Saccharomyces cerevisiae S288C: one gene and its partners. Changing the gene in region 3 together with the main gene of any one other region gives a genetic interaction. Each region holds a gene or a part of one and is shown on either strand. Other genes may lie near its edges. The genes, in order: GMC1, FRE7, YIL165C and YFL051C.

Region 1 (8,595 bases), on a different chromosome or scaffold from region 3:
GGATCATTAACGTAATTCATGTTGCAACTTCTTAAAATGTCCAAGAAATTTAATAAAGATTGGTATGTATTACCTTCTTCATCGATTAAGCCCATGTTCTTCGCGTCGTAACTTTCATTAGAATCGTGCAACTTCAGCATTTTCTTAATATTATCTGTGAATTCAAAAACTGCAGAGCTAGCAAAATAGCCGCTGCCACAGTCGCTGTATAAATCGTGTAAGGTTTTGGACGAAGTCAAGTGTTTACCCTGAATTAAAACTAAACCATTGTCCAAAGATACATTTCCTTCATTGCTGTTCTCGTTCTGAAGGTTATGTGAGTTTGTAGAAGAAGGGACAGAACTGCTTCTTTGAAGTTGAACAAGCTGAACATCATCAACACGTTCGCCATTGAAAGAAGTAGGTACATTAACGTTTCTTGGTTGTTGTGGTTGTTGTGGTTGTTGCTGTTGTTGTTGAAAAGTAGGAAGGGATGGATTGAAGCTCGCTACCGGTTGTGTATTCCGGCGAAACTGTTGCATTGGAACCATATTGTGACTGTTGTTGTTGTTATTACTATTGCTGATACTGGCATTATTAGGCTCGTTATCATAAGGATACGGAGGTTGTACACCATTTCCAAACTCGGGCACACCTTTGGCGGTCAAATGGGTTGAGTTCAAGTTGTCATAGTTGAATCTGCTATTGAAAAGATTGAAACCTTGAGCGTGTTGCTGCTGCACTTGGGATGTTTGCTTTTGCCGAGCGTCAGGCATTTGATGGTTGATTAGAGTATCTGATATGTAGGAGGATCTCCTAATGGTAGACTCTGGATGAGATGGCTGTTGCCAATTAAATGATGGTACTTGTTGGTTGTTCATACTAGATGGGTTGCCAGCACTGTGTGATGGGGCAGCAAAATTGCTGCCGCTATTGGAAGTAAAACCTATGTTTGTTTTATTCATTAAACGCATGTAGTCTGAATCCATCCGATTCCCCATTAGGTCGTTTCCATTTGAATGAAATGAATTTCCATTAAATTGCGGGAACGACCGTTGTTGAGCTTGATAATTACCCATTTGAGTAGAGTTTAAATTATTGTTATTGGATGAAATGGGCGGTGCGGACATCGGCTCTGAATTAGACGAAGACATTTGAAAAGAGGTCAAATTACTGGAAGGGTGTTCTTGAATGAACCCGTTCTGGTGAGAAAACGGTTGCTGTTGTTGATTTGGCACTGGTGGCAAATACGGAAACCTACCCATAAAATCAATATCGTCAAAAGTCCTCCTGTTTTCCATACCATTTCCCGCACTTTTTATTGAGTTTCTCAAATTATTCAGGCCAGCAAGCGGATCAACCGTATCACTTCCTGAATTATTGGAGTTATCATTCAGTTTACGGGGTAAATCGGATAGCGATTTTCCGCTGTTATTCTTGAAAAGCAAGTCCTCATAGTAGTTCTTTAAATCCACATTGTCGGAAATGCTTGTTGTGCTATTAACAGTTGGGAGGTCCATTTTGCAACTGTATTTCTATTGAGCACTGTATCAGACACCGCTTTTTTTGATTTATCCTTCGTTTTTTTCTCTATAATTCTCTTGAGCCTTTCAATACACTTTATTCTTTTCTATATACGCTGTTTACTATATCAAAGAACACTCGAACTGATGCTATCTCTGTTTCTAACTGCCGAACCAATGAAAAATACAGCTCTTAATTATCAGTGAATCCTTCTTCTTATCCTTTATTTATTTTTGTTTTGTTCCTTTAGCTAAAACACGGATCCGTAATGTTATCCAACACGATTAGGGGAAGGATTCGTCTCCAAAAAACCGTTATGACCCAATCCTATATGACCTACGGCAGTCAGAGAAATACAGGTTTTCGCACTCGGAGGCGATTGTCGCCAATGGAAAGCTAGCCGATACTTTTTCCGTCAGCTTTGCGGGTTTTCTTTTTTGCGGCCTTGTAAACGGCTGTGGGAAAAGCGAAAAAAAGCAATGAGTTGGGAGAAATGGATGTGATTACATGAGCAACCAGTAGAAGATAGCATCAACCGCACACATGATTAGGATGTAGACGGCTATTACCTTGGACTTATTTTGTTCAAGTGCGGCTGTATGGACAACAGTGTTAGGGTCAGGTTCCTTGGTAGGGTACGATAATACAGCTGTAGTTGCTTGTTTGGTACTGTCCTCGGTTGTTGTCGGAACCTCAAAGACAATGCCAAGCCCCTTCATCATGTGCCACTCCACATGACAATGTAAAAGCCATTTTCCGGGCATCTCGGTGTTAATTCTCAAAACCGCGTAAGAATTTCCTGCAATGTTAATGCTATCCCTTACCATCGGTGCCTTTCCGGTTCGGGCCAGGTGACGTAAATCGTTCTGATAGCGGCTCCATGCCTTGCCCTCTTGTACGTCTTTGTGAAATGGGCCATCACCTTTATTGCCAAGAGATATTATCTGGAAGTGATGGCCATGCATATGCCATGGGTGTCTCATGTGGTCCAGTGAGTTGATTACAATATCATATGTTTCGTTGAATCCGAACCTTACCGGGTCTTTTACGTACTCGCTGAATGTCCGTTCGTTCACCTTATACATCCCAGTCCCATACTTTTGTTTCGTGCTTTCATCTTTGTAATAAGCATAATCGAATTCGAAAACTGCAACAGGATCAGCCTTTGTGCGTAACTTTTTATTCTCTTCTTGCGTTGGTTCTATGTCGCGATAAAGCTCGGCCTTAGTGAAACCAGGCAAGTGTTCGATGGAAACGTCATTGGGGTTCTTTGGTAGGTCCAAATGAGCGCCTTCTTTGTAAAACCACCACTGTTTTGTTATATAACCCATCATTTTGTTACAGCCATTAATCATACGAATAAAACTAGTGTCAGACTTTAGTTTGACCAAAATTGTATATCTTTGTCCGACCGCTAAATTTATCGTTTGTACAATGAACGGTTTAATCATAATCCCGTCGGCTTCTAGAACAATTAATTGGAATCCATCAAGGTGAAAGACTTGAGTACCAGACATTCCTGAGTTTACGATTCTCAAAAGAAGATACTCGGTGTTAAATCCTATTTTGATAGTTTCACCGTCAGATGATTTTCCATTTATTAATGATCCATCAAATTTGGGATCTGTACCCCCGGTAGATGACAAAACCTTGTCGTTTAAAATGTCCAAATTCCAATTGGTATACCAATCACTCAAAGTGATAATCCTTTCTTGAACTTCATAATCCGTCAATTCCTTCGTGTGTTTATCTTTTTTCATTGTAACAACACCGTCATCTAGTGTCTCTATGTCTCTCACAGAATTAATAGTATTTGCCACATGATTATCATAATCATCGCATTCAACTATCAGAACACCTCTCATACCGTCACCGTATTGTACTGATGAATGCGAATGGTACCAAAAAGTACCACAGGTTGATTGATCAATGGTAAAATTATACCAATAACTTTCTCCATATCCAATAGTGGGCTGTGTTAAACCTGGAATTCCATCAAATTCATTTGCTAAAGGTACCACCCCATGAAAATGTAAAGCTGTTGAACAGTAATCCTTCCAAACATCACTGTCTTTACTAGCTTCTTCTTCTGAACATATCCAGTTAGTCAATTTCAAGTTAAGAGTGTCACCGGATTTAACTCGAATTTCTGGGCCAAATGTAGCGCTGTAGCCATTTATGGAGATAACTCTTCTCTTATCAAGCGTGTATTCACTGCTCGCATTGAATTCTAAGACATGTATTTTGCCTTCCTTAGCGGCCATAATAAATTTTAATAGTATTAAGAGTAGCATTGGCAACTGAACCGGCTTAAGGAGAATGACCTTCATTCTAAACAAGTTGTCCACGGAGTTTTGCAATAATTACTTAATAACTTTGTTTAACCGCCCAGTATGTGCCACTTTATTAGCTTTGGCCTTAATGTGGACAGCTGAGATGAAGGTGGATCCTCTATGACTATCCCCGAAAAAAATGTAAACTAAAAAATATTGGTTGCTAAGAGATTCGAACTCTTGCATCTTACGATACCTGAGTATTCCCACAGTTCACTGCGGTCAAGATTTTTTCTTGAATCAGGCGCCTTAGACCGCTCGGCCAAACAACCACTTATTTGTTGAAATTTTTGTATCATATGTTTGTATATATCATATCCCATTTTTTAAGAGAGTAACTTCTTGTCGGCCTCATTGTTCATAATTTGTAGCCAAGTTGTAGTGATAAATAATAATTTAGGCAGATATTCTTATATGCTTGAGTGGAACTTCTAGCATATTCAGTATACTTGATATTAAAGCCTTTAACAACAATTAATGTTCGGAAAATTAAACTGTTACATAATTTATGTTTAGCTCTTACTTTAATCCCAAAGAGGGCAAATAGCTTTTAAATCTTCAACTACTATAACTATAACTACTTTTCTTTCATATATAGTTAGAAAAACAAACGGTTATACAAATAGTAATCAACACGATATTTTAAGGGTAAATATAATAGTACATAGAGTCCAGTACCTCCATTAGATTGTTATTTAAAGTATTAATACGGAGGGGAAAAAATAAGCAAAAATAATATGAGCGAAATATTATGGCAGAACAAAACGAAGGAGACAAAACATGATTGCATTACATTAGCACTATTTTTGTAGAACGCCTTCCTTATTCAGGACGTTCTCAACTTCATTGACCAACTTTTTGACAGCTTTGAATGAACCAGAAACTTTCTTGAACTGCACAACGCTCATCTTACCTCTCGGATAAATATTAACCTCAAAGAGTGTTGAACGTAGTGAGAATATATTATCACTCGATAGTTTACCCGTTAAGGTCAGATTGTTGGGGTGCGATTTTATATTTTTTAAACCATACTGAGTCCAACCACGCAACAGCTTCTCTAAACCATTAAACAATTGTTTTGCAGAAATCTTGGCATACAATTCCATTGTTTTGTCCGAAGATTTTGAGAATTTTCTAAAGAAGGAACCATTTCCAATTGCTGTATTTTTATCCTGCTTATGCTCTTTTAAGTGATCTTTTGAATGATCCTTTGCCTGCGAGCCAGCATTTTTTTCCCTAATTTTTTGCACAGATTTGTTCAATGGTGGCTCCATATCATCTACTACTTTCTCTCTTTTTTCTTGATCCTCTTCTTGTTTGTGTTGTTCTGGCTTTTTCTCTTCCTTTTCCTCATTTTCTTCTTCCTTTTCAGTATGTGAAGAAGAGCCTGATTCTGGTATCATCGATTTAATCTTTGGATGTGCCTGGTCACCCTCTTGGCTATTCTGTTTACGCAATTCATTGTCACCATTAAGCGGAGGAAGGATCGGAAGATGTAAGTTATCAGTTTGTTTCGCTTCGTTCGATCCATTAAAACGATCTGCAAAGTTCAGCTTTAACGCGGATTTGTCTTTGATAGTGGAATCACCGACATCGTACAATCTCTCATCGTTCGAACTATTTCCTGTATATTCAGCTTCTTCGTTGACAGTTTCAAAAAGAAATTCTGAATCATCCGCACTTCTTGGTGTTGGAATTCTTTGGCTTTGTTGGTTATTGACATCAAGGTTACCGTTTTTCAAAATATCAACCAAGTTGGTAAACGACTCCTTGGTAGAGTACATCGACAGGACAGATAGCCTTTTATTGGACTCACTAAAATGCCTTGATTTTCTAGTAAATTGTGGTACTCTAATTTCAGAGATCTTCCTCAACCTACCATCAGAGACGGGAGCAGTTGTTGCGGTACTATCCTTTAATTGAGATACGCCATTCCCATCCTTCGGGAGGATCAAAGATTCATATCCATCATTAGAATCTGACACCACTCGCTCCTCTGACAATCTTTGTGGTGCAATTATACTTGGATATTCCATTTTAGACAATTTCAACTCTTTATCGATATTAAATGATGAACCCAAGAATTTTGATCTTCTGATAGTTTCTAAAATTTTCTTTTCTGTTGTAAGTCTTTCATTTTCTGTTCTCTTTGGTTCCACTGGACTTACTTCCTCAGTTGGACTGGAGAACATTATACCCGGATCAAGCCTTGACACAGGTCTAGTTTGTAAAGAAAAGTTGCGGCGACGGAGAATATTGTCAATATCAACCTCCAAATGATTGATATTTTTCTCTTCATTTTCCATAGGAGCAGAGATAGATCTAATATTACCATCCAGTTTTTCCTCTTTGTGTTTGGACAGCTCTTGCTCTAGATCACTTATATCAATTTCAATTTGCTTCTTGAGTTCCTCCTGTTTTCTTTTCAGATCTTCCTTTTCTAGTAATTTTCTTGCACGTTCTTTTTCTTCTTGTTTACGTCTTCTACGTTCCAGCTCTTCACGTGCTTTTGCTTCTCTCACTTTACGTTCTAGCTCTTCCTTCTCTTTCCTTATTTGTTCGTACTTTTCGTACTCAAAAATTTCATCTATCAAAGTTGCAAAATTTGAGCTCGTTCTCTTTGTTTCCTTCTCAATGTATTCCCAATCGTCATCCTCTGCCAATTTCGCATATGTTGACATTAATTTTGTTGTCACCGATTCACGTTTCATGCTTGGTATCAATGACATTCTCTTGATAGATCTAGAAGATCTTTTGTTCTTCTTGGTAGTAGAAAAGATAGAGGCTCTTTTTTGATTCTTTTCCACATTTATAACCGAAGCTCTTTTATTACGTGATGCTGGTGTTGGAGAAGATTGGTTAACGATTGTAGATAATTTCTTCTTTGAAGAGAAGTTTTTTGAAAGGCGTTTTGAAGAACCGGGTGTAGTTAGATTGCTGGAGGAGGCACTGGAGGCAGTGAATTTGTTGAAGGATATTGGCTTTTTACGAGAAGATGTTACACTAATTAAAGATTCTCTATTTCTTCTGCGTTGTGGAGTTGTCGATACTTTTTTAGATGGGGAAACAGAAACGCTACTAATTGACTGCCTCTTCTTAACTTGCTGTTGCTTAATAAGCTCTTTTTGAGTGTCACACTTAAATCTATACAGTAGTGCATATAATGTCTTTTCTGCATTAGCGCCAGGTTCTCTTAGTTTTTCCTTAATTCCTTCAGGATCTCTTCCATGCCATAATATTACTAAATTTTGCAAAATCGTAGCGTCAATAGAAGAATTACTTTCTGATAATGGCGTGAGATATGTGTCTTCTCTTGGTAAGCCTCTAATACTTTTAGAATCTCTTATACTTGGATATTTTTGTAATAGCGGATGTTTGAGTATATCTCTGGTCTTGATTCTTCTTTCAGGATCAACGGTTAAGATTTTTCTAATCAAATCCTGAGCTTCACGCGAAATTTCATCATCAGAAGGCATTTCGAACTCACCTTTTTGAACTTTAAGTAATAGTGTTCTTATATTTCCATCTTCCTCGTCAAAGGGTAACCGACCAGTAAGAAGGGCGAATAGGATCACACCGCATGACCACACATCACTTGCGAAACCTTGATACGGTATACCAGATACAATTTCTGGTGCAGCATAATGTGGTGATCCGCACGACGTCTCCAGTAGCTTTCCTTCAGTTTCCAAAGCAGCCATACCAAAATCTGCAATCTTGATGTTATATTTATGATCTAATAATAGATTTTCCGGTTTTAGATCACGATGGACAATACCCAACGCATGACAGTACGACACACCAATAATAATTTGTCTAAAAAACCTGATAGCTTCATGCTCTGGCAGAGGACCTCTCTCAACCAATAAGTTGAACAACTCACCTTTCTCCGCGTATTCTAAAACAAGGTATAAATCTGTATTTGTTTCCCAGACATCATATAAACGTAACACATTTGGGTGGTTTAACAACTTCATAATGATTATTTCGCGTTCTATACCATATGGTAGAGCATCTGGGGTGGTGGAGCCAACAATCGAAGTACCGCTGACATTACCGGTATTGAATACTGCTTTTGATATTACCTTAACTGCCGCCTCTTGTCCTGTGGATCCATTACGAGCAAGCTGGACTTTACCAGTGCTCCCTAGACCGAGAGTTTCACCTAGTTTCCATGGACCGATGGTATTATCCTTTATGGCAGGAATACTGTTACCATTGATTGCCATTTTGAATGTTATTATTGTATTGTGCTGCGAATATCTTTCTTGATCAAAGTGGGCAATTAATTATTCACAAGTCTGCTAAAGCCTTCGAGAATACTAATGGTGAGTACAGTTGAGACGTTGTCGACAGAAGAGAAAGCAAAACAAAATAGAAAAGAAAATCAAGAAGAAATAAAAAATGTGTGCACTTCATTCAGTCGCTTTTAATTTAACATCAAAAGGAATCTATGGTGTGGCCGTTGATATTTCGCGATGGTATGCCGAAAAAGGAAATAACGCAGATTGCGCGTAGTAACGAATGGATTTGACGCGTTTCCTTCGATGAAAAGTGGGAAATAATAATAAAAAATTCTTGTCAGACGAAACTTGGCGCAAAACAAATGATTTCTTTACCTTGAATAACCCAGTTCTTCCAGTGAAGTGAAGTTCAAGTTAGTAATAGTAGGAATGCATTTATGTGATGACAATGATGTTTGCACAAAGTACATAGAATATTTAAAGAGTTAAATAGTATAATGAAATAAGAAATACAT
Region 2 (8,773 bases), on a different chromosome or scaffold from region 3:
TTTCAATATTGATCGGACTTTTTCCTTTTTTTCCACGGAAGATCTACTTCCGCGAGAAAATTCCGTATTCTATTACGTAATATGTACACATGATTTTTTTTCTTTTACGTAATGGACATTCCAATTATATGCTTCTTACTTATTTTATCAATGGCGACGTTTTTTGTACAAAAGAGGTGAGGGCCAATTGTTGAAATGAGAAGGTATTGCAGCATTGATATTAATAAGGTGCTATAAAATATTGGAGATTATTTTGTTACGAATTCTTTCTAGTTTTGAAAGGAAACTATAGCGTACAACAATGTATTTGTAGAACCTACATGCAAACATAATATAATAATGATAATATTTATTGTACCTAAAATCGCAAATATGACATAGTTCACGCGGTAATTTTTTTTCGCGTTCTTGATTAGAAGTCAAAGTAATCGCTGGCATTTAAAAATGAAGAGGTTAATGATATGAAATAGGGTGTGAATATGGTGTATGTATTATACTGGATATGTTCTGTTATTGGTGAGAAACCCCAGAAGTGGCACACCGAGAGCATGGATATATTTGGAAGAAACAAGCTGCAGAACAAGTAATGTTGCAGGAAGTGCAAAAGAGGGCGAGAAAAGCTGATAATGTTTATATTGTCAACTTTCTCACTGAGGTTTTCATCCTTACAAAAACACTCTTCTAGCGGTTTTAATCACGTTACCGTTTATTTCGGCTGCTCATTCTTATCTGGTCCGAGGAAATGATTATCAAACAAGGATGGAAATTTTGTACTTTTGTTCGTTTGCCCGCCCTTTACCCTCAAGGCTGTAAGATGGTTAGCCAAGAAATGCGTTGTATTGTCTTCTAGATGAACAAAAGAATTAAAGTGCATAACTATTACATATTTACCCGCTAATAATCAAATATTTACATGGTTTTGCCGAAATGCTTGAATGATATTTCACATGGTGGATGCCATCTGTTTCCTACTAGTAGCCAAAACTCTCGCTGTGTAAATAGCACTCTTCGACATTTTTGTTAGAAAAAACCTTGGCCTGTAAACCTGCCACGGAATTTCCGACGGTATACCTTAGGCTGTCAGAACCTGAACAAATGAAGCAGTTCCTGAACCCAATTTGGTAATCATTAATGACCTGATTCAAATCAGGTTTGGAAGGAATAATGGTGATGAGACCTTTATATTCGTTATTGGATTTGTCGAAAGTTGAATTTGACTCAGTATCATCCTGGCCGAATTCGGTATCTTTTTCTCTTTTAGCTAAATCAGATTGGTCACTGGCGGTGTCTATTGTTTGAGGGAAAGTTTTAATAATACCAGGGACGGTACTGTCCGAGCAGACGTAAATTCTAACCACAATTTTCCCATCTAAAAATAACTGGCGCAAATTATTTGAGAGGGTACACATTTCATCTCTAATCCATGATATATCCTCCCTATGTCTTACCACCCAGTCCAATGTAATAACTTCTAAGTTTGTCTTATGGAGTATGGGGCCATATTTTTGCAGGAAAGGTAAGCATGTAGATATACCTGAACCAGAGCAAATCAAGTAGACATTGGTAAAACTTCTAATATCTCTCTCGATTCCACCATAAGGCCCATCAATAAGAATTTTCTTCATGTCGTCATTACTTTCGTATAGCCTTTTAGAAAACCCTTTCTGGGCTCTAATCAGCATTTTTATTCCTCCGGGATACTTTGCACTCGGAAAGATAGAAAATGGATGGTTGGAAATGATGCCCTTATCAATAGTTCTCACGAATATGTGTTGACCTGGGGAATAGGCCATTTCCACATCTTTGACGATCAATTCTACGCATCCTTCGCCGACTATGCTGACATTTGCAATGGTCGAGGCCATGAAACTTCTACCAGGTCTTAAATAACCCTTCACAGCTAGTCTGTAAAACAGTTGTGCAAACCAAACCACAATTGTAGCAACCAGATACATATGGGAATTCAATTCGGGATATACATGATAGAACAAACTAATGTAAAATCCAACAGCTAAAATCCAATGAAGTTGCAAAAAAATCTCATAAAAATGTCTTCTAGCAATAGGCAGCGAAGATAACCATAGCAGATTCAAAAATAAGATGGGTGGGACACCACTCCTCCACATGTCGGATGCCTTCCACCGTTGATGCATTCTTTCATATCCTCCCTCATGTCGTGCTTGACGTAGGAAGGGAATGACATGAACCCAGCTAAAGAATAAACAAAGAATGGATGCCCATTGGTGGTATATGTTGATTTTTTCATACGAAAGCCCAACCAACCAACCTATAACGTTGATCTTCCCGGAAAGTGAGAATACAAACGGAACCAAAGATATTGCCATTATGCCTGCACGAACAGACAAAGGCGGCGAACCAAATCCTGCACAAGGTCTGTAGAATGGATGAGGAACAAAGCAGTATAGAAGTGTGTATAAAGTGGTAGCCATTACTACTAAAAAAGTACCCACAGATGTCGGAATACCTAAATAAGAAAATATCAACGTGGGAAATTTCCTGTAGCAAATGTATCTGTTGAATGCGACAAGTTTCGTCATTATTCGAGCAAGGAATACAGAAGGGGTAGTCGGCGAGTTCTTCTTTTCTGGAAGAAATTCCTCACTGGAATCATAATACATAAATGCCAGCTTTTTTATCAAAGACAAAAAAATTATCACAGCGACAAAGTAAGTGACGAATTTTCCGTATTGTTTTTGGTACACCCATGGTGTCGCTGCCTGCGATTCTTTTTTTAACCTGGCGTATAGTTCGGAGTGGATGTCAGCAATACAATGGATACCATTGCTTAAAACCAAATCTCTTTCTTCAATCATTTTATTATTTATCGATGTATATAAATAAACTTTGAAATAAAAATTTGAAATATCCCTTTACTTGCAATAAAAAACTTTTAGTATTGGTAATAAAGGCATGGTTTATATGATCTTGAGAACAAACGAGTGCATAATGAAGAAGTACTTCAGAGATTTTAAGAAGTGAATTTGCGCAAATGCTCACGTATTAATGCGCAGTTATACATCCTGCTTAACTAAGAAATATGCGCGGTACATCCAGATGCGAGCACTATAATTTGACACTTTTCCAAATATAATAAGCTTGGCAAACGGGCATTTCGGCTGCGTTACTTGAAACGTATATCGACTTTTTCAATTTGCGCAGACGAGGATTTTCAACCGCATTTTCTGAAAATAGTGAGCACATAGTATGACAGAAGGAGGTTATTTCAAACATGTCTTGTTTAATGGCGGTCACTTATATGTGGAAAAAATATCCTCCTTGTTCATTGGCCATCCAAATACAGGCGTATGCTCTTGTAATAACATACTGTAGTTGCCTAATAAACTTGAGGGATCTTCTATTGGTCAGAGATGTTCAGTAAGTCGTGGCGTATAGATCCCCTTTGCAGTTTAAGATACTTTCGTATTATCTGTTATCTTCATTTTGTGTCTAAAACCATTAATAAATGACCAGGAAATGCGCTACTGTCACTATAGGTATTTCAGGATGTCATTGGCTGTATCCAGATAAATTCAGAGAATATCAATCACTCCCTATGTTGGCGTTCTTGTAAAGTAAGAGTCACAAAATAGGATGCTATCAAAATAAAAACTTCAAAAGATGATGCATGGATGTACAGACATAGTCAGAAACCATAATGTAGTTTTATCATAGTTCAATTGGTCAAACACTGCTGCGGCTGTCATTACGCTGGTGGCATGATGAAACTTTTGTTATGAACAACTCTCCAGGTCCTTGTTGTCTCTGTATTTGGCACTGAGAGCGCGTCCACTTGAGGTAAGACACTGGAGCAAAAGAGTATAGTATTCTATAGAACAAATAAATGGGTGATGGGCTGATGTTACTTATAGAAAACTCAATTTCGTTATTATATGGATAATTACCGTGGGAATATATGGGCAGTCTCAGGCATTTTTAGCCGGGGAGTATTCCTCTAGGCATCCCTCTGCTATCCTGTGATTGTGGAAAAGCGTTTTTCAAAGACATATATTGAAGTCTACATAGCATTAAGTGAGCAGCGTTAATCGTTTGCAATGTTCTCATATACATGTCATTATTATTTGTAGTGGCATCTTTGGTTGTAAATATCCCAGCGTTGTGCAGGAATATTCAAACGACATTTTCCTGAAGTTGTATAGACCAACTCAAAATAACTATAGCTGCTTTAATATATTTTAGCAGGTTAACTCAAACATCTGCAAAGTAGCATAAACTATCACGTTGAAGATAGCATAGATAAGAAGTTCATACTTTCGTCGTTACTGTTCAAGAGACAATTGATTAGTATTGCACCTAAATATGTGGTACGGTAAGACCTGGGGTGTTAGTGAATGCATAACCGTCAGTCCATCTGCAAATAGCAGTAAGGATTGGCTTTAAGAAATTCGTTGGTTCCTATTAACGTGGCGTAAAACAATGATATAGTATGGGGGAAGTTGATTGACACGACATGATTGCATTAGGCACGTACCCGATTCTTTGAAAATTATGTCCTTTAATAAGTCGGATCTATATATAAGATTATCAGATGACTATTTTCTGCGGCTGCAACTTTGAGTTCGGTAAAATTAATCACTTGATTACTAAATAGCATGTATATAACATGGTCGAAAATTTGACTCAGGGTCGGTGAAATAAAAGTCAATGAGAGCATTTAGAATAAATTAACATTATGGTAAAGCGGACTTTTCTCTCTGTTCTTTTTCTTAATCTTGCATATGCACTACAGGTCGGGCTTTAAATGAGGGTGCTCTAAAGCCTTGGTCGAAGGAGTGCATATTTCGGATTCTTTTTCATTTCATGGTCTCTGGAGAAAAATCCTCGACAATATATATTTTCTAAGGGGTGCTTAAAAAGGGGAACATAGAAGATATACAAGCAACTACATTAAAACCCTATTCTTAATTATGTATTCGTAGTAGTATACCATAACGGCTTATACTCTGTCATTCCTCCCATATACTAAAACGCTTATATGACAGAGACTCATCACGCTCCGCTTCCGGATGTGTATCCTTCTTCTAAGCAGCCAACCTCCTCTACCTATTCTAAGTGTAAAAAATTTGGTCTGCCATTAATTGGTTTATTGACGTTGCTCTTAGCTTATATCAGCAGCTTTACCAAACCCGTCCCAAATTCCACTTTTGACGTTCCTGCCTCTCCACAATGTAAAAAGCCTCAAGTATATCGTCCATCGTTTAACAAGTCTGTGAATTTGATTCTGAACGATAAGCAATTCAAAATAGACTCAATAAGAAAGTTGTCTGGTGCCATTCAAATTCCTACAGAAATTAGTGACACAAACCCGCTTCCAAACGATGACCCAGAGTACTATTCAGAATTCTTCAAACTTCACAAATATTTCTAAGAGACTTTTCCTCTTGTTCACTCTCATCTAAAGGTGGAAAAAGTCAACCAATTGGGTCTATTATATACATGGGAAGGTACAGATCCGAGTTTGAAACCAATATTATTTATGGCACATCAAGATGTGGTGCCAGTTAACAGGGAAATATGGGATTCTTGGCAGTATCCACCATTGTCGGGTCACTATGATCAAGAAACGGACTATGTTTGGGGTCGCGGCTCCAATGATTGTAAGAACTTAATGCTCGCTGAGTTAGAGGGTATAGAACAACTGCTTGCCGATGGTTATCAGACTGAAAGGACCGTTATATTATCTCTGGGCTTTGATGAGGAGTCAAGCGGTTTTATGGGCGCTAAAGTCTTGGCACCATTTCTGTTGGAAAGGTATGGCCCGGATAGCATGTTTTCCATTATTGATGAAGGTGCTGGACTCCTAAGACTGGATAAAAACCTTTACATTGCAGCTGCTGTAAATGCTGAGAAGGGTTACGTTGACGTAAGGATTAGTATCCATGGTCATGGTGGTCATTCATCCGTACAACCTGACCATACTACCATTGGTGTTGCATCAGAATTGATATATATGATGGAAAATCACCCATTCGATTATAATTTCTCACTTGATAACCCCATTTATGATGTATTACAATGTGCTGCCGAGCATTCAGGTTTTCTGCCACCACATGTCAGGGAGGCAATCTTAAAAGCACCTGTGGATGAAGGGAAAAGGAAGGTTTTGACGGAATTTGCTGCATCGCACCCTGACATTCGTGACCTAATAAGAACAACTAGAGCAGTCGATGTCATTAATGGCGGTGTCAAGGCTAATGCATTGCCAGGATTGACCAGCTTTATTGTTAACCATAGAGTGGATATTCATTCATCTGTGAACGAAACTGTGTAAAATGATTTGTATTGGGCCAGAGTTATTGCTGAAAAGCACGGGTATGGTTTGACATTCCATGACGAGATTATCATCCCGGAAACAAAACTTGGCCACATTTCTTTAGCAAGTGAAAAAATGTTAGAACCAGCACCAGTATCGCCAACTTCAGGACATGTCTGGGAGATTTTTGCAGGTACTGTTCAAAACTTGTTTCAAAACGAAATTTTGGCTGAGCAGAAAGATGCAGATGTCTACGTTACGGGTGGCTTGTTTTCTGGTAATACCGATACCAAGTATTACTGGGGATTAAGCAAAAACATCTATAGATTTGTTGCAGGTATCTTTCCATTTGACCAACTAAGGACAATACATTCTGTTAATGAACATATTTCAGCATCTTCACACGTTTCAGCAGTAGCATTTGTCTATGAATATATTGTGAATGTCAACGAGTATGGCCATGATTAATGGGCGAATTTTTTTATATAATGGTAGACCAGTGTATATGTTGAACGCGTCTTGGCCAAACGGTCTATTGATATTAAAACTCCTATAACGTTTCAGTCAAAGTCTAGTATTTTTGAAATTAGAACTTTACTCAACGGCCAACAATTGCAAAGAATATTAATAATTTAACATACCGAAGAAGGGAAATGTAGGTAAAATGGGATACTTATTATGGAAAAACTTGTTCTTTTCTTGTCATATCTATATTGAAGATTATGCTGTAGTATTACGCGTCTGGAATTACGGTTTAATAGATATAGTATATCAGTTTGTTCGTACCGAAATGTGTGAGAGTTCCTGCCCTCTTTTTATTTTAAAATGGTTACTCTGTGCCAATGATGCCCGTTCATATTAATTTGAGACCATTGCTAATAGAATATTATCTTTATTTCATAATAGTGTTTGGCGACACTAACATGGGTAATTATAATAATCTTTTCTATAAGTGACCAATTGAAATATTGTTCACTGACTGACAAATCTAAAATTTTTTGCCCTGTTCACCAATATTTTATGTGTCTTTCTTTCGCATATTAACAGAAAATCACTGAAGTATATTTTAGCGTAATCCTGTCTTTTTGCCCATGAAGGTCCTATTAGTTTTTTATGTTGAAGGTCTCTTTATTATTTATTCTATCTGAACATATGAGTATTCCTAATTTGCGCATTATACCCGAAATCTATTACCACAGATTCTGTTCAGCCGCACTGGCATTACAACTTTTTCTGGTGTTCTATCAGTTGCATTGGCCTATTAAAGGGTTATGTTATTCTCAAGTTTTTTAATAAAACCAAGACGATCATTGATTTCTTTACTATTTATTGCCATGAAATTCAAAAGAGGAAATGTAGGTGCGTAGGCGAAAAACTTGGTAGAAGAAAACGTTCGGTAAGAATAAATTATCATTAATTTAATTGATAAAAGACATATTTATGTTTCATTTTGTAGTTAATCCTTTTTTTGTTCTTTTCAGGAACACAGTTCCTTCATTATATATGATGAATTCTATAATTTTGCGCGGATTTTGAAAAGTTCGATGCGCAATATAGGCCTCTAAATATAAATATAATAATAACACAATTATGATAAACTTGTCATTAAATTGTTTCAGACTATTGTAAAATTGAGAAGAAGAATGCTATTGTTTGATTCATTACTCGACACGTATACAATGCACTGAGATACTTATATTGTGCTCAATTTTTTGCAGTTTACGAAAAATAATGAGCAGTACATTCTCGTCAAAGTTTGCAATCATATAAAAAATACCATCTAATTCAATGAAAAAGAATAGCTCCAATTTATTTTAAAAACATAAACGAACTAATATTTACGGTATAGAAAACATATTCTGTGGAAGTAATGATGTGGTTATTACAAGTTACCTAGACAGCCACCAGGTATAACAGAAGCACTGTAAACGTCAGCGAGATAGTAAAGATAGTTGTCGGTGTTTCTAACTGCGTAAGTAGCATTGTTCTGGGTGTAGTCCACAACTTCTTCAAGAGTTTCCGCGTACTCGCCAACATATCCATCCATACTCATGGTAGGGACGTGCAAGTAACGATGTAACATATCAATACCTGCATAATGTTTTGGACCGACATCGACAATAGTACCTTCGAAACAAATTGTTGATAGTGGCTTTTTGGAAGTGTAGAAGTAATCACAAATAACAGTTTCAGCTGGAGCAGATTGACGGTGATGACCAGCGTAATAGTTTGGATTAGCTGCACACAAGCCATCAATATCATCACATCTCATGAGCATGGCACCCTTGGAAGCCTCCATCAATTGCTCAAAGACACCCATGACGGTGAAAATACTACCATTACCAAACCATCTTTTGTAGTAAACGTCATCGACACCATAGTTCAAAAGTCTATCTTTACCATAAGCGGTGATTTCAGCGGTATCCTTAAAAGCTGCATTCAACATTCTTGCGTTCGTCTCATTACAGGTTTGGTAAATGG
Region 3 (7,028 bases):
ACCATCAAGAGAATAGCTAATGTATTGCTCTTCACTTTCAGGAGTGTTATAAGTCCAAATCGCAACGCATCTTTGTCTTGGATCAATAGTATCATTGAAAAACCCACTCGTGTTGTTGTAATCAACCACCATGGAGCCAGAGAAAGCACCTGAATCGTTACGCTTGGGAGCGATAGCAATGGGTTGATCTTCCCAATTAGTCAAATCATCGGAAGTAGCATGGCCCCAAAACAATGGCGTACCCCATACGGTGTCATTTGGGTTGTATTGAAAGTACAGATGCCATTTGGCATCTTTTTCATCGTACCACAACCCATTTGGGTCATTCATCCAGCCCTTGTTGGGTGTGAAGTGGACCAAAGGTCTATCGCTAGTTTCGTTTGTCATTGATGCAGATATTTTGGCTGCAAAACCAGCCAAAAGGAAAAGGAAAGCTTGCAAAAGCATCATATACGTTAGTGAAAAGAAAAGCTTTTTGTTTTGCTTGTTTCTCTGAGAGAAAAAAAAAAGTAAGATATATGGTAAAAAAAAAGCACAAGAACAAGAGAATGTTTTGAAGAATAATACATATCTATTTATATGTTTCTTTTCAGGAGGAAGGATTATAGGATCGAAATCCAAAAAAAAAAAGTCGTCAAATCTTTCTTCCAAATGGTTTACTATAGAGCCCTTAGGCAACATTTTTGTCAAACAAAGTCGTTTAAGCATTCCTCGAAAAGAAACGTCTCTATGATGGTAATAGGCAAACATCGGGCGTACCTTAAAAGTCTTAGACATCACATAAAGGGATTTATAATCACATTCCTCGTCAGTTTTTCCAGAAACCTCCATGGAAAAACCCTGGACGTGGGGTCGATTAACGCTACGCGTATTTCTTCGCCCCCGGATAATTTCCTAAACTGGGTTTTTTCTTTTTATTCCTGTTCAGAGTAATAAAAATGCGGGGAATAATGGAAGCCCTCATAATGGATCGAGTTCAACAAAGGCACGCCTTTGGTAGAAGAATACTGTGGGCCTTTCTAACGTAGCATACCGACTGGTAATTTGCTCACAAACTATTCTAAATGACGTACTTTTTTGAGCTTTGCTGGGGGAGCGAGAACTACGCTAGGACAACAACTCCCATACGGTAAATGTCTTAGTATGTCGTGCTTGTACAAACGAAACATGATAAAATGGATACCTTCGACAGCTCACCGTGCCCCTGTCCTTTGTTCATTGGGAAACCTCCTGCCGTAATTCTACATACTATACTCGATACCCGAGATTGTGACGTGTGGATGCTAAGCCCCTATAACCTCAAACTTTTTAGCTTGGAAAGGCACTTAACTCAATTATAGGTTGTTGCGAATTCTGAATTTTTACAGCTACTTCTGTAGGGAATTCAGACCTCCGTACGGTATCTCCCTGTTTACTACAGGGGAAAACTTAGTTTTTTTTTTACTATAGTATATGCAAGGCCCTGAAGCTCCATGATATTTCGTAGATTATTCGGCTTCCTATTCAAGGCAATGTCTAGCCGTTTAATGTGCGACGGCATTAGCAAAGCTTCTTCAGTTAATAACTTTTCTACGTTCTTTAGCGCATTAATAGACTGATCGTCTATTACCATCGTGGAAATGAGGTATAGCACCTAAGAATACAGCGAAGGAGGTCTAACTGCTTCCCAGAAGTCACAGGAAAATAAACTTTTTTTTTTTATTTTCCGCTTTTTTCATAAACTTCTTTCACACTTTCCGCTTTTCCATACTTGGTAAATGCACATAATGCTATTGTAATATACAACCATGATTTCACTTCCCCTGGCGCAACAGTATGTTGTTAGCTATGATACAAAAATTTTTTAAGGCCATTTGAAAGCATCAATTTCTCAGAACACACTTCATCTACTGCAAAAGAAGACTTTCGAAGAAAAGTACAAATTGCGACGAACTACTTTCATAGTAACAAAATGAACAGTGACATTGAAAAGCAGAGAATGTTGAACATAGGCTAATTTTACGTTCTCACAGCCTGGCTAGCACCTAGAAACGACGCATGCTGCCATGTTAGTAGTCAAACAAAATTGAAGTGAGGCTCAAAATAGTTTGAATGAACACAACAAAACATTGGATAAGCTGTCATGCTACATTAGCAATACAAAAACCCGCACCCCGTAGTCACGTTCGCCTTCGCAGCTTTTTAAAAATGGCAAAGAGTCTGACTTATGCTCTGTTGACATTTAAGAGATACAATGAATCGATCCAACAATTATTAGCCATCAGTACTTCTCTTTTGTGAGGTAGGGCGACAAGAAAACGCACAAACTAGAGAAGATATTTATGCATTTTTCGGTATATCAGATAAAAGTTGGTAGTGCTCGAGCTTTTCTTTCTATACCAATAAATGCTGCAAAATATTATAATCTAATTAGTACTGAAGTAACTCTAGCAAAGCACAGGTGACAAAATTTGTGCTGGTGATTGTTGGTACTGCTATCGCCAGAATAGTCGAGATGTTTGCATGTATCGACTGCTATGCGCGTAAGAAATTGGAATTTTGTATGGATAACTATGGCCGACCACTGCACCTAGCAACAGTGAAGAACTCGTTTATCGAGAGACGAGTGTCGAGATAACAGATATGACAATTAGATTATGTAGCCGAAACCATATATTAGAGCCAGTAGTTGTTTGATCATAGCTTGATTTTCATTAATTATCAGTCCTCTTCCGTGTAGTGCCTTTTTTCTTCTGCAAGCGAACTTTTTACAGATGGAAGTTCGATAACAGAGGAAAAAGGCGAAAGGTGGTTACTTGAAACATGGTGTATCTTAAAAACCGCTCGAAATTATAGAGGTGAAATTACAAGTTACTTGCGGTTCGATAAGCAAACGCATTTACGCTTATACTTTGGAGCCACATTTCACTATGAACGCCACATTATATTAATCCCACCGCGATTTGAAAACGGTTATCAGTAAAGTTGGCCTAATGCTTACGAAATATGAGCTATCTTTTTTGCTTCGTAAAAAAAATGGAGCCCAGGCCTCCGTGACTCATAAAGGGCAGTGTATATAAATAATAAAAGCTCTTCAATAAGAAAGGGTGATATTATGACTTAGGGTTAGCCAATCACTTTTCGAGGCTACCTCTAGTTAACCACAATGGCGAAACACATTGTTGCTGCCCTTCAAATCGGCTCTTGTCCGGGCTCTACTAAGGATACCTTGAAAAAAATTTTGTCATATGAGAAGGAGATCAAGGAATCTGGTGCCAAGTTGGTCGTTATCCCAGAAGCCACTCTTGGTGGTTATCCAAAGGGATCGAACTTTGGGGTTTATCTAGGCTACCGTCTTCAAGAAGGAAGGGAGGAGTATGCTAAGTATCTTGCCGAAGCAATTGAGATCGGAAACGGAGAGAAATATCCAGAAATTAGTCAGTTGTGCGCACTATCGAAGGCCACCGACGCATCCTTATGTGTGGGGTGTATAGAGCGCGATGGGACGACATTATATTGTACCATGGTTTATATAGATCCTAAAGATGGCTACGTTGGGAAGCATCGAAAACTGATGCCGACAGCTGGCGAAAGACTGATATGGGGTCAAGGCGATGGTTCGACTCTGCCTGTCGTGGATACCGCTGCTGGGAAGATTGGCGGTGCTATCTGCTGGGAGAACATGATGCCTCTACTGAGATACGCCATGTATAAAAAAGGGGTTGAGATCTGGTGTGCCCCAACGGTGGATGCTAGGCCTATTTAGAGGACTGTGATGAAAAATATTGCATACGAAGGTCGTCTATTCTTGATTAGTGCAGTGCAGTTCATGCCAGATGCGACAGCAATGGGCTTTGGGGAGATTATTGACCAAGCTACAGGTAAGAGAAAATTACCTGGATGGCCATCTGCTGACGACAACTGTATTAATGGAGGTAGTGTTATTATTGATCCTTATGGAGAGATTATTGCAGGGCCATTGCTAGGGCAGGAGGGCCTTTTAACCGCCGAAATTAACACTGACTTGATTGCTGAAGCTCGCTTTGATCTTGACCCTGTCGGACATTATGCTAGGGGAGATGTCTTCCAGTTGACTGTCAATGAAAGGTCACACGATGTCAAGTTTACGAAATGAATACCGCATAAATCCATTAACTAGGCTTTCATGAATGGTGGCTCGAAAATATTCGTTAATATCAATATGTCTGTTATATAATGTTTTATGTACAAGAGATAATGTAGATCTGTAATATTCAATCAAATAGGCATTTGTTTGAAATCCATACGTCTCTAAGATATAATCCAAGCCATGATTTTGAAATCAGGATCGCAAACCTGATCATTTAATTTTTACCTTTTTTTAAAATATAAATTAACATTTATTAATAAATAGGTGTATTTGAGAAGTTTCATTTTCGTTCAACAGCCCAGTTATCATCATTTCACAAACAAGAAGGAGATATTAGCATTTTCTCCCGGATCCGATTAACACAGTTTTTTTGTTTAATCCGGTGTGAAGAAGATTTATAAATGTCGTGATATTTTTTAATGTGGAGATTGTACGATGACGGGTAGGAGTCAAGACAAGCTAAAGAATGCAGCCTTAATAATTGCGCCTTTCACAATCAAAATTATGCATTGACCCGATACAAGAATCACCGTGTGGATCAAGCCATTCTTACCAAGCTTACTTTTGCCGTCGCCAAGGCTGTTTGTAGTCATTCTCTGAACTTTTTTCCTTGGCATTCGGCTCGACGCAGAGAATTTCGGATCGATATAATCCCGAAATAGTCCGTTTCTCGGATAATTGTGCCGAAATGCATCATATTACAACGTACTATCTTGAATTGCTAGCATTCTCGTAAGAAAGAAAAACCTCGAGCAAATAGGCTACATTTGCTGCTGCACCCCTTTACAGCACAAAGTCGTTGCAGCTAGCTCCTTAAAATAAGGACCCTGCAGTCATGTGGCATATATAATAGTTGGCGAAGCTTGAAGCCTCACTTAGAGGTTGACGCCTCACTTGAGGTTTCAACATATACTGATGGTTTCATTTCAACAGCCTATGGGTCAATTGGGAATAACTATCAATGCTACCAATTTGTCACACTTTATTGCCTAATAGGTTTGGCGCTTACTATCAAATACATGACGTATTCCCTGCGCTAGGTTCGTCTTCTACTGAATCATTTAGTATAAAAAGGCAGCGTTCAATTGTTGATTATTGAAATTATTTATTGTACAAACAATTAATAAAAAATTCAATCAACAAACAAAGTTTCATCTATGTCCGTACAAAAAGAAGAATACGATATTGTAGAAAAGGCCCAATTATCTGTGTCCGCAGAAAGCTTAACATCAGATTCGGAGAGTATTTCACATAACCCATTTGACGATTTTCATAAAGCAGAGCGTTGGAGAAAAGTCTATGAATCCAGTGGTTATGAAGGCTTGTCTAAATTCGATCCTGAGTTTACATGGACAAAGGATGAGGAAAAGAAATTGGTAAGAAAAATGGACTTGAAGATTTTTTTGTGGGTTTTTATTATGTTTGCCTTTTTGGATTTAATAAGGAAAAATATTGCAAGGGCAGTTTCAGACAACTTCATTGTTGACTTGAAAATGAACACGAACGACTACAACCTTGGCCAAACTGTTTATCTAGTTATATTTCTAGCAAGTGAACTACCCGGCAATCTGCTGTCCAAAAGATTTGGTCCAGAAAGGGTCATTCCGGTTCAAATTGTGTTGTGGAGTGTAATTTGTATTACTCAAGCTGGTCTGAAAAATCGAGGTCAATTTATTGCTACTAGATGCTTATTAGGAATGGTACAGGGCGGGTTCATCCCGGACAATATTCTATACTTGTCATATTATTATACTGGAGCTGAGCTCACATTCCGCCTAAGTTTCTTTTGGTGTGCTATACCTCTTTTCCAAATTTTAGGCTCTCTTTTAGCTTCCGGAATCATAGAGATGAGGGGTATTCATAACTTAGCTGGCTGGCAGTACCTATTTATAATTGAAGGGTTTCTGTCCCTTTCTGTTGGCGTGGCATCCTTTTATTTAATGCGTAGAGGACCTACGCAAACTGGTGAGTCTGCATTTCACAAAGGAAAATCGTTATTCACTGAGTATGAGGAGAAAATTATGGTTAACAGAATTTTAAGGGATGACCCATCAAAGGGTGACATGAGTAACCGACAACCAGTTACCTTCAAGGAGATTTTGTACACTCTAACAGAATTTGATCTATGGCCATTGTTTATCCAAGGTATTACAGCATTCATATCTCTTCAAACAGTTGGTTCCTATTTATCTTTGATATTAAAGAGTTTAAATTACTCTACATTTCTTTCGAACATTTTAGCAATTCCAGGCCAAGCCCTGCTGCTAATAAATTTACCATTAGCGGCACTATTATCGCGTAAATTGAAAGAAAAATCACTTTGTGTGGGAATTGCCAACGTTTGGGTGCTCCCTTTCATAGTTTCTCTGGTCGCTTTACCGACTGACACAAACCCCTGGATCAAGTATATATTACTAACCGGTATACTTGGTCTTCCCTATACACATTCCATTCTTGCTGGTTGGGTCTCCGAGATTTCAAATTCGGTAAGATCGCGTACAGTGGGCACAGCGTTATACAATATGAGTGCCCAAGTTGGAGCAATCATTGCTTCTAACATGTATAGAAATGATGATAAACCTTACTATACTAGAGGTAACAAAATACTTCTAGGATTCACTTGCTTCAACATTTGTATGGCTGTTGCTACTAAGTTTTACTATATTAGTAGGAATAAATACAAGGACCGCAAATGGAACTCTATGACAAAAGAAGAGCAGATCAATTACTTGGACACAACTAAAGATAAGGGAATGAAGCGTCTTGATTATAGGTTTATTCACTAGATTAAGTTTTCGTGTATTAAAATTTTTGCTGTTAGAGTAATGCTACACGCAAAAGCGAGAAGTCATACATCAAAAAAAATTATTACACCAGAGCAACAAAAGGTTAATGCAAAAACTTTTTTTTTTCGAGTTTT
Region 4 (7,243 bases), on a different chromosome or scaffold from region 3:
CGTCTATATCTCTTGAGCGCCAATATGCGAAAGCTTTCACAAGGTTGATGTTCATGGTATTCGGCGTCGATAGCGAATTGCTTACTAAGAAACATTAGGGTGCAGTACAGCCTTGTTTTTCCAGTTCGACTAACCTTTTTCTTGGCAGTATGGAGACTGACTAGGTCTCCCAAACATTCATTGTAACTGCTGTTTAAAGATTTTGTTCTAACCTAAATTCAAGTGAGAAGCTGAACATGTGTCTCTACTTATGATATCACGACAGCAAATACTAATCTTGCCATAAATAGTCTAGCGTTTTGCAACTTACCTCTAGATATATTTTATTTCTTGAGGAACCGTTTTCGTCGGTAATAACAAAATACTACTGAAACGCCACAGCATTGAGAGAATACGTTATCGATTACGGCTTTCTTCTCGCTCCAGATGTCGCGGGTAAGATATTCACCTCAAACTTTTCTTGTTGAGTGTCGTCACAAATCTAGAACCTACATGCCATCTCAACGATTTTTCTGGAGAAAGGCCTCACTCCGTTCCGTACGTAATGCATAGATAAAGTATCAGGATCTTCACGATGCTCGAGAGTTACTTAGTAGTCTGAGTTTATGCGAAAAAAACTCCGCCGTTGTAATAATCGGGAATACACAGAAGTAGTACTGCACTATCACTGGGATACTCAAAAACCTTCTTTTTAACTTTTCTATCCCACAAATAGAACATAGGAAAGAACATTGACTCCTCCACTTGAAGTTAAATTACAGGAACAAACGCCTAACTATAATTTCGACATTGTTGCATCAACGAATCGACCGAAAGAAAAATCTGGAGTTGCAGTTATCACTTGTATGTGCACTAAGATTTATATTTTTACTCCTGAGATCTGCCAAATCGGTAGCTTATTGAACTGCGTTCCTTTTTCCCCTGAGTTCTCGAGGTACCTGCGGCTTTGTCTGTGCCATCTCCCCCACTTTAAAGTACCCCACGTTACTACCGCGTTTTTCCCCACCCCCGGCTTAATAAATTAGCTATATCTTGTTGACTTAAATACGGAGAAAAGAAGAAAACCTTCAAGAAATGCTTCATTGTCTTGTCAAAAGAGCTAAAGTAAAAGAGCTCTAGTTCGAAGATGGCCCGCAATAGACAAGCGTGCGACTGTTGTTGCATTCGTCGAGTAAAGTGTGATCGTAAAAAACCATGTAAATGTTGTCTTCAACACAATCTGCAATGTACATATCTTCGACCTTTGAAGAAAAGAGGTCCAAAACCCGTCAAGGTGAGAAATTTAAAGAAAGTAGATGATGTACAGGTATTTAGTAAAAGTAGTAGTGGTGGCATAATGAAGGTTCCAAAGGCACTAATTGATCAGTGTCTGCGGCTCTATAATGATAAGTTGTATGTGATCTGGCCTTTGCTGTGTTATGATGATCTTTACGAACTTTTAGAGAAAAGATATGACGAAACCTGTGTGTATTGGTTCCTGGTATCTCTTTCTGCCGCCACGCTTAGCGATTTGCAGACTGAAATTGAGTCGGAAGGAGGGGTTACCTTTACTGGGATACAGTTATCCAGTTTCTGCATGTCATCACGCCAAGAATTTGACGATTTTAACGGTAGTGATATATTCAAGATTATGACGTACTATTGTCTAAACCGCTGCTACGCACAGATGTCCAACTCAAGAACTTCGTATCGGCTTTCTTGTGAAGCCGTGGGGCTCATTAAGTTGGCGGGGTTCCATCGCGAGGAAACTTTGAAACTTCTTCCTTTCGATGAGCAGCAGCTTGGAAGGAAAGTTTATTATTTGCTTCTCTTAACGGAAAGATACTTTTCTGTGTATACGCATTGCGCCACGAGCCTGGATACCACGATTGCTCCACCACAACCGGAGAACGTAACGGACCCCCGACTATCTCTCGACAGCTTCTTGGAGATGATTAGGGTATTTACTGTACCGGGAAAATGCTTCTTTGATGCTCTAGCTACCGACTCTGCTAATGTAACCTGTACTGAAGACTCCCTTAAAAAGATATGGAGGGAACTTCATACGGTGCCACTTGAGATAGAACCATGGTCTTACGGCTATGTAGACATATCTTTTTCACGGCATTGGATTAGAACACTTGCTTGGAAGCTAGTGCTTCAAATAAGCGGTATGCGAATCAGTTTCCTTTCAAATAGCAAGAATACGCATATTCCAGTAGAAATTGCTAGAGACATGTTAGAAGACACATTTTTAATCCCAAAAAATCTTTATGCAGTTCACGGTCCAGGGATATCAGTGAAAGCACTAGAAATAGCCGACGCATTGGTAGATGTTGTGAATCAGTACGATCAAAATGCAGAGTCGGAGGCTTGGAATTTTTTGTTCGATATATCCAAATTTGTCTTCTCTCTTAAGCATTGTGATAGCACATTAGTTGATAAGTTTACGACAAAGTGTCAGTGTGCGCTTATCACGCTTCCTCTTTCTAATCCGCTTGAATCGACAGATGGTTCTAAAGAAGATGTAGATGCGCTTCCTTAAGTAAACACATTGCTACTTGCATTTTACCTTTCAAGATGTAGTGATTACGGACAGTTGAAGAGGCTAATAGCATCTATTTCTTCTTTAGTATATGGTTCCTGCAGGGCAAACAATTATTTCCTTTGCAATTTTGCGGCAGTGGGGAAGAATGATAGCACTAATAGTGAACTTGTGGACAATTATGCTATTATAGCAAGAAAAAAAATTTATTTTTTTTTCAAGGGGGGTGATTGTGATGTGAATTAAATCAAGGATATACGCTTTTATCGTCATGATAGTCGTGCGATTTGTACTTGGTTATAGATGAAATGAGTTAGTTTTTAATAATTGTGATCACAATATAGCTGTACTTATCAGGCCATTAAAGTTTCCTGTAAGGTGCACGAGAAGTCATGGTCATAAAATTATCAGAATCTCCAAGGAGAGGTTCAACGGCGTCGGTTGCCCATACTCCATATTAAGTACCCTGTCATTTCCACAGTTACATTAGTTGGAGTAGTATAGAAACCAAAAAGATCAGAACTCCAATAGGCAGTATTTGGGTCACAGTATTCAGTGTCACGTTTTTTAGTTTCATAAAGAGGTCCGCAAGGATCATATCCATCCTCATCACGCTTCAAAACTGCATAAGTCACACAGGTAGGAGTGCTCTCACAAGGCGGACTATAGTATATGGAGAGATTGGTCTGTCCGCTAACGGAACCTAACTTCTTTGTATTGGAGTATTCATAGCCCATATATTCAGGCTCCAAGTATGTGGTTTGGTCGCCTATTGTGTACTCATAAAAATTAATATTCATACCATCTTCCCTTTTGTTTGTTGGTAAGCAAGCTTCTGTACTGGCTAAGGTTGTAGTAGCTAGCGCCACGAAGACCAAGAGTGCCGAAAATACGGAATGGGGTATAGACATTTGAAGGTGTGGAGGGATGCTGGTATCCTCCAATTGTTACATTAAGATTATCATCTGGCTATCATGAAATGAAGGTTACCTTTATATAAGAAAGACTTTTAAAAAAATGTTTTGTTTTCTGCTTTAGGGAAGTAGATATCGTTCCTGCATTTTGATATCAAAATAATCTCCGGTAGGCATCAATTGCAGTTAAAGCTCTTTCTGGCAAAAACCCCGATACCCATGTAGGTACGCTCTTTTCACCAGGTCTTAATAATTTGATGGGCACCGTTTATCCCAGGCAAGCCAAAAATTAGAAACAAAAAACAACTCACGTACGTTAAAAAACCTGATAGTGCTTCGTACTACATAGAACCCTGCGCTGTTATCTGCTAATCGAGCACTACTAAATTCCCTCCAAAGGAAGTAGAGTATAGATTCTATGCACCGATGTGAAAATAGTAAACCTACGATAACCTTTTTTTTTTTACTAACCGAATTGAGCAGATATTGTTACCTGTTACGGTCATAAAAGTTAAACGATTTTGCTTTATTTCTGTCCCTGGCTGAAAATAGTAAAGAAGAGGGAAGGCAAGTTCAAGGGCAGCTTAATAAGTCATACGAAAACGTTCTCGAACTTTTTTTCTGCAAGCTTTTCAGAACCACGATGGAAAAAAGAAATTTTTACAACACTAATGCCAAGTAAGGTTTTTCGGATTTAGGGTGGCGTCCTGAAAAAAAAAGAAACGTCTCAGAACGTTTCGGAGAAAAAAAAATAAGGTGTCAAATTTCTTAGTGTTTTGACGGGTGATGCCCTTCCAGATAAATCTCGTGGAGATTGGCTAGCGTCAAACGTCACCGATCTCTATTTCTTTTTTAGGTTATTAAATTTCGATTACATCGCGTGTTCTTAGATAAGTTACCAAGGGTGCTCAAAGGAAAATTATATTTCTTTTTTTCTTTTGAGTAATTGCAGGTGAAGAGATACAGAGCAAGGAACGTGATGTAATGCATTTTTTTTTTTGTTCCTTGGAACCACATGATTTACTCAACAAATTAATCTAGTTTGTGCTTCAAGCATGCACCATTGTGAATATTTTTTTAGTTTCAAGGTGACAGGTTATGAAGATATGGTGCAAAAGACAAATGTATGGTGGCAGGCATAGTAAAATGATGGTGTGGAAGACATAGATTGTATTTGTTTTGCATTATCCAAGTGCTCGAGATTGGTTCTAAAAAACAAGAAAATAAAGGGCAAGAAGAAAACCAGTTACTTCTACATTGAGAGGCCAGCCAGGTTGCCGCACACGTGTTGGTGCACGTTAAGTTTTGGGCTCACAGTGGTAAATCATAGAAAAAGCAGTTGCTTAATTTCCCTCTTTTTCATATTCTCTACGCTAGCACTGTAAGGAAAAACGCAGAAAGCAACATACAACGTTTGTTAGGATGTTCGTACTTCACAATAAGCAGACAATAACCATTTCAAGTGTAAAAAAAATTTTTTTTCTGTTAGTTTGATGCAGAAGACTTATACTTTTAACTTTTTTGGTTAACTTACACAAACCAAGCGCACAACGCCTGCGCTTTTTAGTATTAGATGGCATGATTTGAAAAGCATAAAAGTCTGGATATTGGAATTTAGGGAGGCGGCGGGATAGAGCGATAGTTTCTCCCCATATAAAGTCTACAAAATGTGTGGGTTTTTGATATCGATCGAAATTTCACAAGGTGTTCTATAATGACTAACATTTTTGTGAGCAGTTGACTCTCCTTAGTGCACATTGTGGAATATGTATGCCATGTCTCTTAAAGGGGTAAAAAGAGGTATTCTGCATACTACCAGTGGGGTTTATAGCATCGTTTAATCTTGTTATCCTGTTTCGGTTTCGGCAATTTCTTTCAAAATTCTGTTTTCAATGTTATCTGGGAAAGAAATGTTTCGAAAAATAATACGTAAATTGTTCCGACAAAAGAGTTCTTGTCTATGATTATTCAAAATGCTGACTTTTTATTTAGCGCTTATTGGAGTCTTTGCTGTCTGTAGAAATCTGACCAGGCATACAAATTATAGTTATTTACTAACGCAAGAAGTTTATTGTGGTTTTCATGTGTATGTGGCCACGTAGATTTATTTTGTAAATAAGTATCGCGACAGCTTCTATTTTCTTGGTTTAATACGCCTGTACTAATTTCCATTTTTGAGTTTAGGCGGTGCTTTCGTAAAAATGATATGATTATTCCGCTCATAAATGGTAGTCATGGTAAGGAAGATAAAAAAAGCGCAGTTCCACTGTCAGGCTTCGTTTATTTAACAATATAGATACATCATAAAAGTTTTTGGTAATGTTCTCTGGTTTTACTTCGTACTTCTGATCAGAAGTCTGTTATATCATGGTTCGGTACCAATTTTTTTTATACACCATTGTGATGATGTTAAAACTAAACGTATAAATTGGTCAATTATGTTGCTAGTAATGCAGCTCAAGCAAATTTATTTTATTGGCCTACATAAAGAAAACTAACTCTACAACTTTTACGGTATAAATATGCAATGTGATTTAAAAAATCACTGAAGTGTGTCAGAATATGAGAAACTTTAAGTGAAGCGTCATATTTTTGTGCCCTCATATCAAAAAAATGCTTTAAAAGCAGTCAACCAATGTGCCAAAAATTTTCAAAATTCAGGAACTTGTTGTTCGGCAGACTTTTATTCTGCCTGCTAAAGATCTGCCGACCTACCATAGCGGTCATGTTAATTGTAACGGCTATATCTACTGGGTAGACTGACAGTTGATTTCCTTCGAACGCCAACTCTCGCATTGCCATTTTTAGAATCATCGTTAAATCTTTTATCTCTTTTCGGTAAAAAACTAGATATGACTGATTTGGCCCCACTACCTGCGGCTTCGTTGAGCGTTGCAGGTGGGTCTATTTTTTTGATCCAATAGCTAGCTAAAAACCAGCTTATGACAGCTAGTAAAAGCAGTACCCCCAAAATTCCATACCACCACGCAATACTTCCATTTCTTCCTGGAACTTTTACATTCATACCGAACAGACCAGTAATAACATTTAATGGAACTAACATTGTACCTAACATAGTAACTTTACCCAACATTTCTGTAACTTTATTATTAGAGTTAAATGATTCCACTTGTAATTGGGCCAGGTAGTTTGCATGTGATCTAGAAAAAATCTTTTCGTACGCCAATAAATTTTGAAACATCGTCAACAAATGATCCTGAATATCACCTAAGTATAAAGCAATATCTCCCCTTGGTTGTGATGTTGTTTGCATATAGCTATTTGATAAGCTTATTTGGTTATTACTATTATTCTGGTTCACATTCTCTTGTTCCGCTTGTAAGTTCACCATGTTAGTTTGAGATTTAAGCACTGGCCCAATACCATTAGTTTCATCTTGACATCTTTTGGCGAACATTTTGATAACATCTGCTTTACCGCTCAAGAGTCTCATCAGCGTCATTGTCTTACGCCTACTTTCACCAATCCTTTGTAACATGGCTGCAAAATCCATATCACGGGTCATAAACACTGAATCATCAATCGAATCAGCTTCATACTCGATGGATTGAATAACCGGAGCAAAACTATCTGTGATATCATCGATTAAAGCATAACATAACCAATCTGAATTGACACTGACATAGTCACGTAATTGTCTTACACGTCTTCTTACATTGGCACAGTGTGATATTGGGTCAAAATGAAAAGTCAAGACACCTGACCTAAAAACAACGATGTAAACATTTATAGGTTCAAGATAATTCTCCGATTCTTTATCATTTTCAAATGTATGGAAACAGAC

The links.
Region 1: mutations in YIL165C (region 3) and GMC1 together harm fitness more than expected from each alone (negative genetic interaction), as found in Saccharomyces cerevisiae (one large-scale study listed by BioGRID).
Region 2: mutations in YIL165C (region 3) and FRE7 together harm fitness more than expected from each alone (negative genetic interaction), as found in Saccharomyces cerevisiae (one large-scale study listed by BioGRID).
Region 4: mutations in YIL165C (region 3) and YFL051C together harm fitness more than expected from each alone (negative genetic interaction), as found in Saccharomyces cerevisiae (one large-scale study listed by BioGRID).

What each region holds. Positions count from the first base shown.
Region 1 is NC_001136.10:1,457,722-1,466,316, forward strand, and holds GMC1 (putative oxidoreductase), read right to left. Parts: upstream 3,834-8,595; coding exon 2,007-3,833; downstream 1-2,006. Other genes in the region: PSP1 (Psp1p), read right to left, coding at 1-1,499; protein kinase GIN4, read right to left, coding at 4,637-8,065. UniProt on the Saccharomyces cerevisiae protein: Could be an iron transport multicopper oxidase, which is required for Fe(2+) high affinity uptake. May be required to oxidize Fe(2+) and release it from the transporter. Essential component of copper-dependent iron transport.
Region 2 is NC_001147.6:34,809-43,581, reverse strand, and holds FRE7 (putative ferric-chelate reductase), read right to left. Parts: upstream 2,835-8,773; coding exon 972-2,834; downstream 1-971. Other genes in the region: ZPS1 (Zps1p), read right to left, coding at 8,175-8,773. UniProt on the Saccharomyces cerevisiae protein: Cell surface metalloreductase. May be involved in copper homeostasis.
Region 3 is NC_001141.2:30,804-37,831, reverse strand, and holds YIL165C (uncharacterized protein), read left to right. Parts: upstream 1-3,754; coding exon 3,755-4,114; downstream 4,115-7,028. Other genes in the region: beta-fructofuranosidase SUC2, read right to left, coding at 1-447; YIL163C (uncharacterized protein), read left to right, coding at 580-933; NIT1 (Nit1p), read left to right, coding at 3,146-3,745; SOA1 (Soa1p), read left to right, coding at 5,266-6,894.
Region 4 is NC_001138.5:27,106-34,348, forward strand, and holds YFL051C (uncharacterized protein), read right to left. Parts: upstream 3,436-7,243; coding exon 2,953-3,435; downstream 1-2,952. Other genes in the region: ZNF1 (DNA-binding domain containing protein), read left to right, coding at 1,127-2,524; putative Mg(2+) transporter ALR2, read right to left, coding at 6,167-7,243.